Arabidopsis thaliana: one gene and its partners. The protein of the gene in region 2 purifies or fractionates together with the protein of the main gene of each other region. This does not show direct contact. Each region holds a gene or a part of one and is shown on either strand. Other genes may lie near its edges. The genes, in order: PGM2, TIM and PGM3.

Region 1 (3,755 bases), on a different chromosome or scaffold from region 2:
CTAAAGTTCAGCATCGCAATGTTGTTAATCTTTGGGGTTATTGTACACATGGAGATGATAAGCTCTTGGTTTATGAGTATGTCGTTAATGAGAGCCTCGACAAGGTCCTCTTCAGTAAGTTTTTCTTCTCAATGAGATTGGTTTGTATATTAGGATAAATGATATTGAAAGAAGATGGTTTTAACATGTAGTGGTTGCTTCATTTGAATGCAGAATCCAACAGAAAATCGGAGATAGATTGGAAGCAGAGGTTTGAGATCATAACAGGCATTGCTCGAGGACTGCTCTATCTACATGAAGACGCGCCAAACTGCATCATCCACAGGGATATTAAGGCTGGCAATATTTTGCTGGATGAAAAATGGGTTCCTAAGATTGCAGATTTTGGGATGGCTAGACTCTATCAGGAAGATGTAACACATGTCAACACTCGTGTTGCAGGAACCAAGTATGCTCTCTCTATTGTTTACCCTTAAAAAGCTCATTTACATATCTTCTTGTGTCATTTGAACTCTTTTTGTTTGTTGGTGTTTCATGGTAGAATGTTATTTAACGTCCATTGCTTCTTCTTTTCTTATGCGCAGTGGTTATATGGCGCCAGAGTACGTAATGCACGGGGTTCTATCGGTAAAGGCAGACGTATTCAGCTTTGGGGTTTTGGTTCTGGAGCTCGTAAGTGGACAGAAGAACTCGAGTTTTAGCATGAGACACCCTGACCAGACTCTTCTTGAATGGGTAAAGCCTCTAGTCTCATGCTCCATTGTTTATAGGGTTGTTGTGTGATGGCCTGACCCAGCCAATATTCTTCAGCGTAATATAACCAATGCTAAATTCTTTCTGAATGTGACACAGGCATTTAAGTTGTACAAGAAAGGCCGGACCATGGAGATACTAGACCAAGATATAGCAGCTTCAGCTGATCCAGATCAAGTCAAACTCTGTGTACAGATCGGACTACTCTGCGTTCAAGGCGATCCGCATCAAAGACCGAGCATGAGACGGGTATCTCTACTTCTCTCTAGAAAACCAGGACATCTAGAAGAACCGGATCATCCTGGTGTCCCGGGATCTAGATACCGTCGGCGAACACAACGTCCTTCAGGAGCAGCATCACTTGGAACATTGTCGACCACTGGTTCCAGCACAGATTCTTTCGGTTCAAACCTGAACACAAACACGGGAACTGGTGTTAGAGGTACCCCCGCATCTTCTAAAGCTTCAACTCGGAGTAATGCCACTAGAAGTGCTGGTCAGAGCTCTAGCTCAGACCCTCACGGGAAACGACATATGAGTTATTGAAGTACATAAAATCTGGTCATAGGTGATTGTAAATAGCGAGCTGCATATATAATATTTGTTTCATAATTTATTTAATTTTGCTTTTGAAAAGTAAATTAATTTATTTTTTTGACTGCAGTAGTGATTTAGTTTTGTAGTATGATTTGTTATATTAGCGGGAAAAAATTATGATTCATTTGTTACATTTGTATATTAGAATAATCACTTGTAGTCCCATTATCTAGGTCCCCACTATTGGCCTCGTACGTATAAAAGCATATTCTCTTGTACGTATTAACGGTACCTTACTTTAAACAAAACATAAAACTAAAATGTTTTTTATGCGTTTTAAATTATTTTTCAGTTAAAATTTATAAAAAGGGTTTTTGTAAACAATTATTTTGATAGTAAAAGAAATACTAACTGAAATTAGTGGAGAAAATACACAAACATATATTTAACTTTCTTTAATTTAAAATATACAGATTTTGTTTCTTTAATTTTTTTTTTCAAATTTTAGTTTTCATTTATTTTTAAATAAAGTATGACATGTCATAATGTTGTATTTTGATTTGTCATTAAAAAGGGGGTGAATCAAATTGGTTCACTCTAGAGGTGAACTTCGCCAAAGAATCACAGACCGTCAGTGTTAATCATCAGAGACATCAACGTAATGTTCCTCTTGGTTACTTCTTGCTTTAATGTTCCTCTTGGTTACTTCTTGCTTTCTACCTGATTCAGGTTCTTCAGTTAAAGTTTCTCTTTTCATTTTTGGGGTAATGCCCGGTTGGGCCTCGTTGTTTTATTTAGGTTCTAGTTCTAGGGCCTGCGTGTCCTTTTAGGCAGTTATTGCCATGTATGTTCTTTGGGCCATTCGTGCCTCTGTCGGCTTGTTGGGCCTTGTAATCGTTTCGGCTCTATTGGAAATTAAAAATAAAATATATATACTAACCCGTTTTGGGTAAAAAGTTAGGTCCACTAAAAGACGAAAAGAGATCCTACCAAAAAAAAAAACGAAAAGAGACGAGCCACACGCGTCACCTTCTCGTTTAGCCTCTTCATCTCCTTTCCTCAGACTCACTGTGTAAAAAGGCTTTTATTTTATCATCTTCAGGCTTATTCGATTTTCTTCAGATTTGAAATGGTGTCGTTCAAGGTCTCTCTCGTCTCTACTTCGCCTATTGATGGCCAGAAACCTGGGACTTCTGGACTCCGTAAGAAGGTTCGTTCGCTTTCGCTTCTTCTCCTTGTTATATCAATCCCCGCGTTCTTATTTCGAAATTGGATTAGAGATTTGAATTCTAAATTCAGATCTTCGCAACGAAATTGATTTCTTCATTTAGTTCCGATCTTATGGATTGAATGAATTTTGTGTGTTGGTTTTAACAATTTGATCCGATCCGATGAGATTTGAATTTACGCATTGTTTCGTAATTTTACAGGTGAAAGTGTTTAAGCAACCAAATTACCTTGAAAATTTTGTCCAGGCAACGTTCAATGCTCTTACTACAGAGAAAGTTAAAGGTAAAGATCTCTCTTACCTCTCTTTGATTGTTGTTCAGGTAAAGGTCGATGATTGCAAATTCCATCTAAGAAAGAGTATTTGTTAACTTTTTCAGGTGCGACACTTGTGGTTTCTGGTGATGGTCGTTATTATTCAGAGCAAGCTATTCAGGTAAAAGCTTTATATGTCCTTTGAATGATGGCAAACTGCGTTTTGCATTAACTTATAATTCTTAGACACTTTACTCTTATTTTAGTTGTTTTGAATCTTTTATTTCATAAAAAAGATAGTTCGTCAATACCACTTTATTTCCTATCTGGACAGATTATAGTAAAGATGGCAGCAGCTAATGGTGTTAGACGTGTGTGGGTTGGTCAAAACAGTCTGCTATCAACTCCTGCAGTATCAGCTATTATTCGTGAAAGAGTAGGGGCTGATGTGAGATATCTTCCTCTAAACTCATACTACTTACTTTTCTCTTGGGTTGTTATCTAAGGCTATGCATGTTTGCAACATGTAATGACGTGATGAGAAACTAACCCGAGATCCAATTTCAGGGATCTAAAGCCACAGGAGCATTTATCTTAACAGCAAGTCATAATCCTGGTGGCCCAACTGAGGTCAGTTCTCTTTTTGTTCTCACTCTTTTGTGCTTGTTCATTCGATACCCTCACTTAGTATTATTTGAATCCTAGCATCAGTTTTGTTAAACTATATGTTCATCTCTCTGCTTCCATATGCTGATTTCCTGCTATTCTATTCACAGGATTTCGGAATTAAGTACAATATGGAAAATGGTGGACCAGCTCCTGAATCAATCACTGATAAGATTTACGAGAACACAAAGACAATCAAGGAGTACCCAATAGCGGAAGATCTACCCAGGGTACCTAACATTTCTGATCTTATTACCTGTCATCATCTTTTTTTCATCTTGTATTTGTACTAATCATGTTTTTTTGCTGGTCTTTTT
Region 2 (3,755 bases):
AATATGTGTGACGTGAAGCACCGATTTAGGTGGATTTGACGAACGTGATTGGTTACAATATTCAATTTTAACCTTAACCTTGATTTATTATATTTGTATGATCGATTATGCTCTATCTTCAATCATACGGCAAAACTCTCCTGTGTTCCAAAAAGTTAAATTTCCATTTTACTATACAAAATAATGGAATCTAAAATAATGAATATCAAAATCTACGGAACCGAATAGTAAATGTTTATTGCGATATTTTATAATTATGTAATTAGGAAAGGAAAGAAGCTGTGAATTAACAGAGTAAATTATGTCAATTTGAGATTAGGCAGATTAGAGTTAAGGTGCTTAGGGTAAAAGGTCAAATCCTTTTACGTCATCGTTGAATTTTATGGAAGATGTGGTTAATGATAACAGTTGAAGCAAAGGAAAATAAGGAAATTTGATAATGACGCTCCACCTACAATCGTCTAGGTGTAGCCCATTGGCCATTACGAAAGAGAGAAGCAACTAATAATATTTAATTAGAAATGACCAATTCTCTGTATCCACGTTAGCTTTATTATCTGTATATACACTCATCTTTTACATTTCAAATTTCCAAAAACATAACTCTGAAGGAAAATGAAATTATGTAACTATTTGGAATTTGGATATTTTATGGATGAACTGGATCAAGTAAAAGAATAAACACGAAATAGTAATCTTTGTACATAAGAAACTGAGTTCATGTTTATGGTTTCTATACTATATCTAATATACATTATGGCACTATATTTTATTTTCTAAGCAAAGAACTCGAAGTTAATAACCTACTAATTTGCTATGGTATTAATGATTAATCCGAGTTGGATATACGTATTTTTAATAGAATTTGGCTTAGTCGATATAAAACTATTTGGTCGAAATAACGTGTTAGAAATTCTACACTTTCTATAAAAAGAAATTTAAAGTACATACTGCTTAAGAAAATAGACCAAACTACTAATCTTTAAATTACAGATGGTATTGGTAATGAATTTGAACAAAAACATTAATATAATCTTTCATCTGTCGGTCAAACATATAATATTATAACCTAAAGTCGGTTTCTATAAGTTTCCCTCAGCACATAAAAGAACCAAGAAGACCTTCTCTCATCATCATTATTATAGGAAGTTAGGAACTATGGCTTATGAAGAGAGAAGATCATCGATCCTGGATTCATTCTCGCTATCGCCACTACCATACCCAGTTCTTTTGATCCTAGCCGTTGCTTCAGTGTTCTTGTTGAGTTCATGGTACTTCAGCTTGGAAGAAGCAGCCGAATCAGCGGAAGAGCAGATAAATTTTGCGCTTCTCTTGATTCCTCTGTTTCTTATAGTCTTGGTCCGGTGGTTATCTTCCATGGAGAACCCTGATGCGCTTCTCGGGATGTTTTCAAGCAGTCGTCGGACAACTTACGTGAGTCCCGGAGCCGGAGGTGACGGTGGAAGCTCGCCGTGGGGAGTGGCGGCGTTGATAGTTTTGTTGCTTGTATTGCTTCAGTATCAATCAAGTTTCTTGGAGATGTGGTCTGGTTAATGATATTGATAGGTTTTTTTGATTTTCACGTGTTTTGTTTTGTCGTCTAGTAGCACGATGATGTAAAAATTTGGTCATTACTTACGAATTACGAGGTTTAAAATCTCGTGACGGTACTACATGTTATCCAATATCGGCTTGTCTCTTGGTTACACGTTGCCCAATACTTTGATAATTCATACTTTGAGCAAGAAGTATGGCGTTGATATTTTTCAAAAACTGCATTTTCAAGAATGCATTTACGATAAAGTTTTTAAAAGACCCTATGAATTGAATTGTATTGAATACATCCTCAATCAATGCATGATATTCATATAGTTGTCACCTCCATTTTACGAATCGTGATTAATCGTCATACACAAATGATCCACCAAACCGCATGTGATGGCACTATATGGCTCAAGAGCGTAGCCTCACAACAGTTTTAGTTCGTGTTTATAACCTTTTAGTTCAAATGTTTATATGTTGAAGAGGAAAAACCATTTGTGATTTTGAGAGAGATTCATCAGGTGATAAATTTGAGTTCTATATATGTCTTTGGATTTCGTATTATGATATTTTGACAACTTTTGTTTTCTAAACTTTTATGTTCAAATTTGTCTTCAGATATTTGTTTTAGACATTTGTTTAAATAATTATGCTTAAACAGTGTGCTCAATTCTTTTTGTACCTTTTTAAAAACATGTTTTATTATGATTAACGGACATGGTTGTTAATAGACATAATCACTATTTGTTCACAATCGAAATGGTCAATATTGGTCTAGTCCATTTTGATAGTTTTAGGTTTGATTGGTAGCTTCTTATCAAAACAGTAAAATATATACCGTTTAAAAGATCCAATGAAACTTGATCGGTGGTGAAATCAATGTTTGGACAAAAAGGAGAAAATAATGGATCATTCTCACCCAAACTATGGTGGTTACCAGAGAGCCACTTTGCGTGAGCTTTCAAAACAAATTTTTTCTCGATATTTAAACTTTTAACTTTAAACATATATATATATATATATATATATATATTAATAAATGAATAACAAAGATCTCTACAAGAGTAAGAGTAGTATTACAATTAACCATTAGAAGCTATTCTTGTTGCTTGACAATTGGAATGAAATATTTGGAACCAAACTGTAAGATAAAATGTCTTTAAGATGGAAAGTTCACAGAAAAGTGGCCATACGGTTCATGTTGAAAGCTGACCGCAAAGTGATCACTTCATGTGGAAAGTTGGAGGAAGTGGGCTGCGACGTTGTTACACTTGAACCCTATAGGGGAAAGAGTGGACTGGTATAAGGCTATTTGGTTTAAAGGAAGGATTCTCAAGCATGCTTTTATTGCTTGGGTTAATAAGAGACACATGCTCCATACTAAAGACAGGCTGAACAGCTGGATACTTAGTGTTCCATCCCTATGCCTTCTCCGGCAAGTATAGTGACTAATTGTTGACCACAGAAAAATTTATACCTACAAATTAGGCCCTTAGGAATACTTTTACCAAATTATTATATGTTCAATCTTAGAAATTAGTAGTACTAATTAGTTAAACGTCTCGACGGAAACAGTGTTAATGAAATGATTATTCATCGACCATTTTGGGCACCTGATCTTAGGATTGGACTACAGCGCGTGGCAACGAGACGTGACATAGGCGCGTGAGAACGAGGCTTGATGATACCATCTGTGAGTGCGAGAAAGACAAAATTACCCTCGAGAGTAAGAGAGAGAGCACAACCACCAACCCTCTCATCGCCTCTATCTCCTCTGCTACCTTAAGCTGAGAGAGTCACAGTCTCGTCTCTATCTCTCCTCTTTGCCTTTTTCCACTCACTACACGCCAAACCCGACGACATGGCAGCTACCTCTCTCACTGCCCCTCCTTCTTTCTCCGGTCTCCGCCGCATTTCTCCCAAGCTCGACGCTGCCGCCGTCTCCTCCCACCAATCCTTCTTCCACCGCGTCAATTCCTCTACCCGTCTCGTTTCTTCCTCTTCTTCTTCTCATCGCTCCCCCAGAGGTGTTGTTGCCATGGCTGGATCCGGAAAGGTTCCAACTTTAACCCTCAAACTCTATTGAAATGCTAGATTCTCATTGTTTAGGATTGAGTGTGTGAGAAAAGTTATTCCTTTTACTTGCATGATTGGTATCAATTAGAATCCAGATTCTCTAAATTGTTTTTGGCAATAATCTCAAATCTCCTCAG
Region 3 (3,755 bases), on a different chromosome or scaffold from region 2:
CAAATTTTCCTTCAGGTCCTTCAAAACTGGTTACACCAACAGCAGAAATATCAACCTGTCGCATTCATCAGATAGACCAGATCAACTATGATTCAACAAAAGACAGATGATGGAAATCTATAAGAGGATTCTTAAGAATACATTGGGTAGATCTTGTGCTATTGGGTACTCCTTGATTGTCTTAGTGTTCTCGTAAATTTTATCAGTGATTGATTCAGGAGCAGGTCCTCCATTTTCCATATTGTATTTGATTCCAAAATCCTGTACAAGGGGTATGGAATCACCTCTTAGTCTTATTATCCATCTAGATATCTTATTATTAAAAAAAGAACAAATAAAGAGATACAAAACGAATAGTTCAAATGAAAGGATAGCACAGTAGAGATGGAACAAGAACAGAACGGACCTCAGTAGGGCCACCAGGATTGTGGCTTGCTGTTAAGATAAATGCTCCAGTTGCTTTCGATCCCTGTAATCGGAGACTGGGGTTAAGTAACTCAAAACCATCATTACATTTTGCGTCATGCACAAACATAGCAAATAACCAAAAAAAACAAAAAACAAAATGTCACTACAACCATGAGCATAGAGAAAGAAATCTCACATCAGCCCCTGATCTTTCACGAATCACAGCTGATACAGCAGGAGTTGATAACAGAGTGTTTTTACCAACCCACACACGTCGTACACCATTAGCTGCTGCCATCTTAATTATGATCTGTTAAGATACAAAATAAAATTGTATGAAAAGCAGTAAAACATCTTCATCTGTAACAGTATGAACCGGATTTGTAATAGGAGTAGATCAAACAAACTTAAGTTTCAGAGATTTCAAAGTCAAACAAAACTTTAACTTCTATAAACCTCTAATCTCTCTATAGAGGTTTCGATGCAAATTTTAGAGATGAACACAAAGAAAAATAAGCAAGGCATTGATGATAATAGCAGGCCTTCCTAACACAGGAGTTCCCTCCAAAACATTGTAAATACATGAGCACTAATTCATAATTCTATGGATACGCCAATTACATTCACACAGATCCAGAAGACAGGGAATATCATCGGCCTTACCTGAACAGCATCCTTTGAGTAATAACGACCATCACCAGAGACCACAAGTGTGGCACCTGCACATATGAACAATAAACACTCATGAATTTTTCGAATGAGCAGATATCTCTGAGAAGCTAAGATGAGTATGAAAAAAATCTCACCTTTAACTTTCTCCGCCGTAAGAGCATTGAATGTTGCTTGGACAAAATTCTCTAGATAATTGGGTTGCTTGAACACTTTCACCTACACAGTTAGAAAAAAAAAAAAAAATACTAATCAGAGATACAAAAAGATGCTAGTTTGATATCTGCAGAGAGTAGAACAAACAATCGACACTCGATTGATTGGATAAAATGATCAACCCAAATTTCTTTTATCAAAATATCTGAAACAGATCTGATCAGTGAGTCTCAATAAACGTCATTGCAGATCGTATATACGTTAAACGAAGATCTGACAATAACAACTAGGCTCTTCCCTAGTTTCAATTATACACAAATTCAATCCATATAGTCTCCATTTCGCTACACCAACTCAAAAAACGTAATTTCAAGCTCTATCAAATCAACATTCACCACATAGAAGCGTCCCAAACATATACTCAAATCAAATATAATAAACGTGATCTCGAACTTGATCCAAATAAAATAACGAAAACGAAATTTAAAATTTGTCATCATTCACTAATCAATATAGATTAATGCATAGATCAAATCTAATCAGATGGTCAATCTCACTTCAAAATCACACTCAAGAAAATCTAAACAGATCTGATCCAGATGCAACAATTCGATTTCGTTTGATTCAGAAGACAAGGATCGATCAACGAACCTTCTTACGAAGACCAGAAGTTCCTGGTTTCTGGCCATCAATAGGAGATGTGGATACGGTAGAAACCTTGAAAACCATATTCGCTTTGAGAAGAACAAAGATCAAAATTTGGACGCAGAGAGAGTGATGATGATAAAAGCAAGCAGCTCTTAAATAAATTACGCAAAAGAGAAGCTTGCTTAAAAGCTAAACGATCCCAAGACACGTGTAACCAAGTGAGTGAACTAGAACGTTTCTCTCGTTTTCACTGACACAGTAAGAAAATCTCAGCCGTTGGATTGTATTTTCAGATTTTAAATTCATTTTTGCTTGCGTAACATTTCAAAGATTAAATATTTGATTGATCATGTGTAATCTCTAGAATATGGTAATAGTAATATACGTGCTACGTAATCCGATTATCTTAATGTAATTAACTTTTCGTATATTCGTCTCACATGACAAATCATACATTATATTATTCTAATTGATTCCAAAATTTTACATGACAATAATCTGTAAAAATGTCTTAAACGGGTAAATTTCTGAGTAACCGAAGAGCTTTCTCCCATTGTGGTCGTTGAGACATAACGATACGTCTCAATACTGGTACAGCTCCTGCTCTTATGATGGCTGTGTGGTTCTCACTGTCCATGGTTAAGTTGTACAATACTGACAAACTCGCTTCAACGCACCGCTCGTTCCTTTCTTCAAGAAGCTTAACCAGCGGTTCGATACCTCCTTGTGAAGCAAGTGTTTGGATAGATTCTGGAACTCCCTCGGAGACTATCTTGTTCAGTTCTAAAACCGCTGCTTCTTTCGTTTCTGGTGATGAGGAAAAGCTCATTTGTTCCACGAGGCTCGGGATCGTTTTGTACAGAGTTACCTCAAGATTGATCGGATTGTTGAGGGATTGAGAGGGAGAGGAGAGAGCGGTGAGTTTGACAAGACAAGCGGCAACCCAGTCTTTGTAGTGTAGAGGGAGGCTTGATCTTAGGATCTTCCTTACTAATTCTATGAAGACCGCGGTATCTATTGTTTGGCGAAAGGACTCGGAGTCAAGAAGTTTTGTCAGTAGCCTTGAAGCAGCGGAAATCGTCAAACCAGCTTCTTCTAGCTTAAGCAGATGTTTCTCTAACTCCTCAGCTTCATTCTCAGGTTCTGCATTTCCATAAAAAGTATTGTATGCTGTTATAAAATTCAAACAGAGTTATATCAAAAGATAAGTTTTGTACCTTCCAGGACTTTCTGCCGGAGAGCAAGATCAAGAACAGTTGTGATATCCTTGGAGATGATCGTGTCCATGTTTGGATTACTGATTATACCAAACTCGATGACAGAGATTGCGTTTCTTAGCAGGTTCGGAGAGGCTGTTTTCGCAATCTGGACGAGCCGAGAAAAAACAGCAGCGTCCAGAACTTCCTTTCTGTTCATTCCCATCCGATGTTTTGAGTAATTAATACTTCTAAAAAAACAAAAAGAATGAATGAGCTGAAGATAGGAAGATCGAGAAGAAGACTGACCTGGAGTCTGCTTTTGATCCGTTCACCGGTCCTTCATAAAACTGTAGCATGTAGAGAAATAGCATAAGCCAAATGAAAGCAGATTTAATGTATAATAATCAACCTTGGAAAATAAACACACCTTGGATTCCATTTCCTTGCTAGGATCTAAGATATGAGCAATTATATCCAGAACCTGCATAACATAGTTCACAAAATACCATTTCACGTCCAGTTATTCCATAATAGCCTAGACAAAGATATCAAAGAACAAAGGAAGAAGAAAATGAAGTCATACGTGTTCTGTAACGTTTAGTGAGATCTCTGGCTGCTTCAGAAGATTAATAAGAAACCATACTGCACCTTCAGCTTCAATCCTCTGGCAAACAG

Evidence for each region.
Region 1: the proteins of TIM (region 2) and PGM2 fractionate together in Arabidopsis thaliana (co-fractionation; one large-scale study listed by BioGRID). This does not show direct contact.
Region 3: the proteins of TIM (region 2) and PGM3 fractionate together in Arabidopsis thaliana (co-fractionation; one large-scale study listed by BioGRID). This does not show direct contact.

The regions. Positions count from the first base shown.
Region 1 is NC_003070.9:26,671,391-26,675,145, reverse strand, and holds the start of PGM2 (Phosphoglucomutase/phosphomannomutase family protein), read left to right. Parts: upstream 1-1,979; coding exon 1,980-2,054; intron 2,055-2,263; coding exon 2,264-2,500; intron 2,501-2,720; coding exon 2,721-2,802; intron 2,803-2,897; coding exon 2,898-2,953; intron 2,954-3,106; coding exon 3,107-3,220; intron 3,221-3,339; coding exon 3,340-3,402; intron 3,403-3,548; coding exon 3,549-3,668; intron 3,669-3,755. Other genes in the region: AT1G70740 (Protein kinase superfamily protein), read left to right, coding at 1-114, 214-448, 585-771, 853-1,299. UniProt on the Arabidopsis thaliana protein: Catalyzes the reversible isomerization of alpha-D-glucose 1-phosphate to alpha-D-glucose 6-phosphate. The mechanism proceeds via the intermediate compound alpha-D-glucose 1,6-bisphosphate.
Region 2 is NC_003071.7:9,072,755-9,076,509, reverse strand, and holds the start of TIM (triosephosphate isomerase), read left to right. Parts: upstream 1-2,039; 5' UTR 2,040-2,063; intron 2,064-2,757; exon of another isoform or gene 2,758-2,975; intron 2,976-3,165; 5' UTR 3,166-3,403; coding exon 3,404-3,598; intron 3,599-3,755. Other genes in the region: AT2G21180 (uncharacterized protein), read left to right, coding at 1,159-1,554.
Region 3 is NC_003070.9:8,218,153-8,221,907, reverse strand, and holds the start of PGM3 (Phosphoglucomutase/phosphomannomutase family protein), read right to left. Parts: upstream 2,101-3,755; 5' UTR 1,963-2,100; coding exon 1,885-1,962; intron 1,297-1,884; coding exon 1,215-1,296; intron 1,128-1,214; coding exon 1,072-1,127; intron 719-1,071; coding exon 605-718; intron 470-604; coding exon 407-469; intron 262-406; coding exon 142-261; intron 56-141; coding exon 1-55. Other genes in the region: AT1G23180 (ARM repeat superfamily protein), read right to left, coding at 2,393-3,024, 3,099-3,289, 3,387-3,427, 3,508-3,561, 3,664-3,755. UniProt on the Arabidopsis thaliana protein: Catalyzes the reversible isomerization of alpha-D-glucose 1-phosphate to alpha-D-glucose 6-phosphate. The mechanism proceeds via the intermediate compound alpha-D-glucose 1,6-bisphosphate.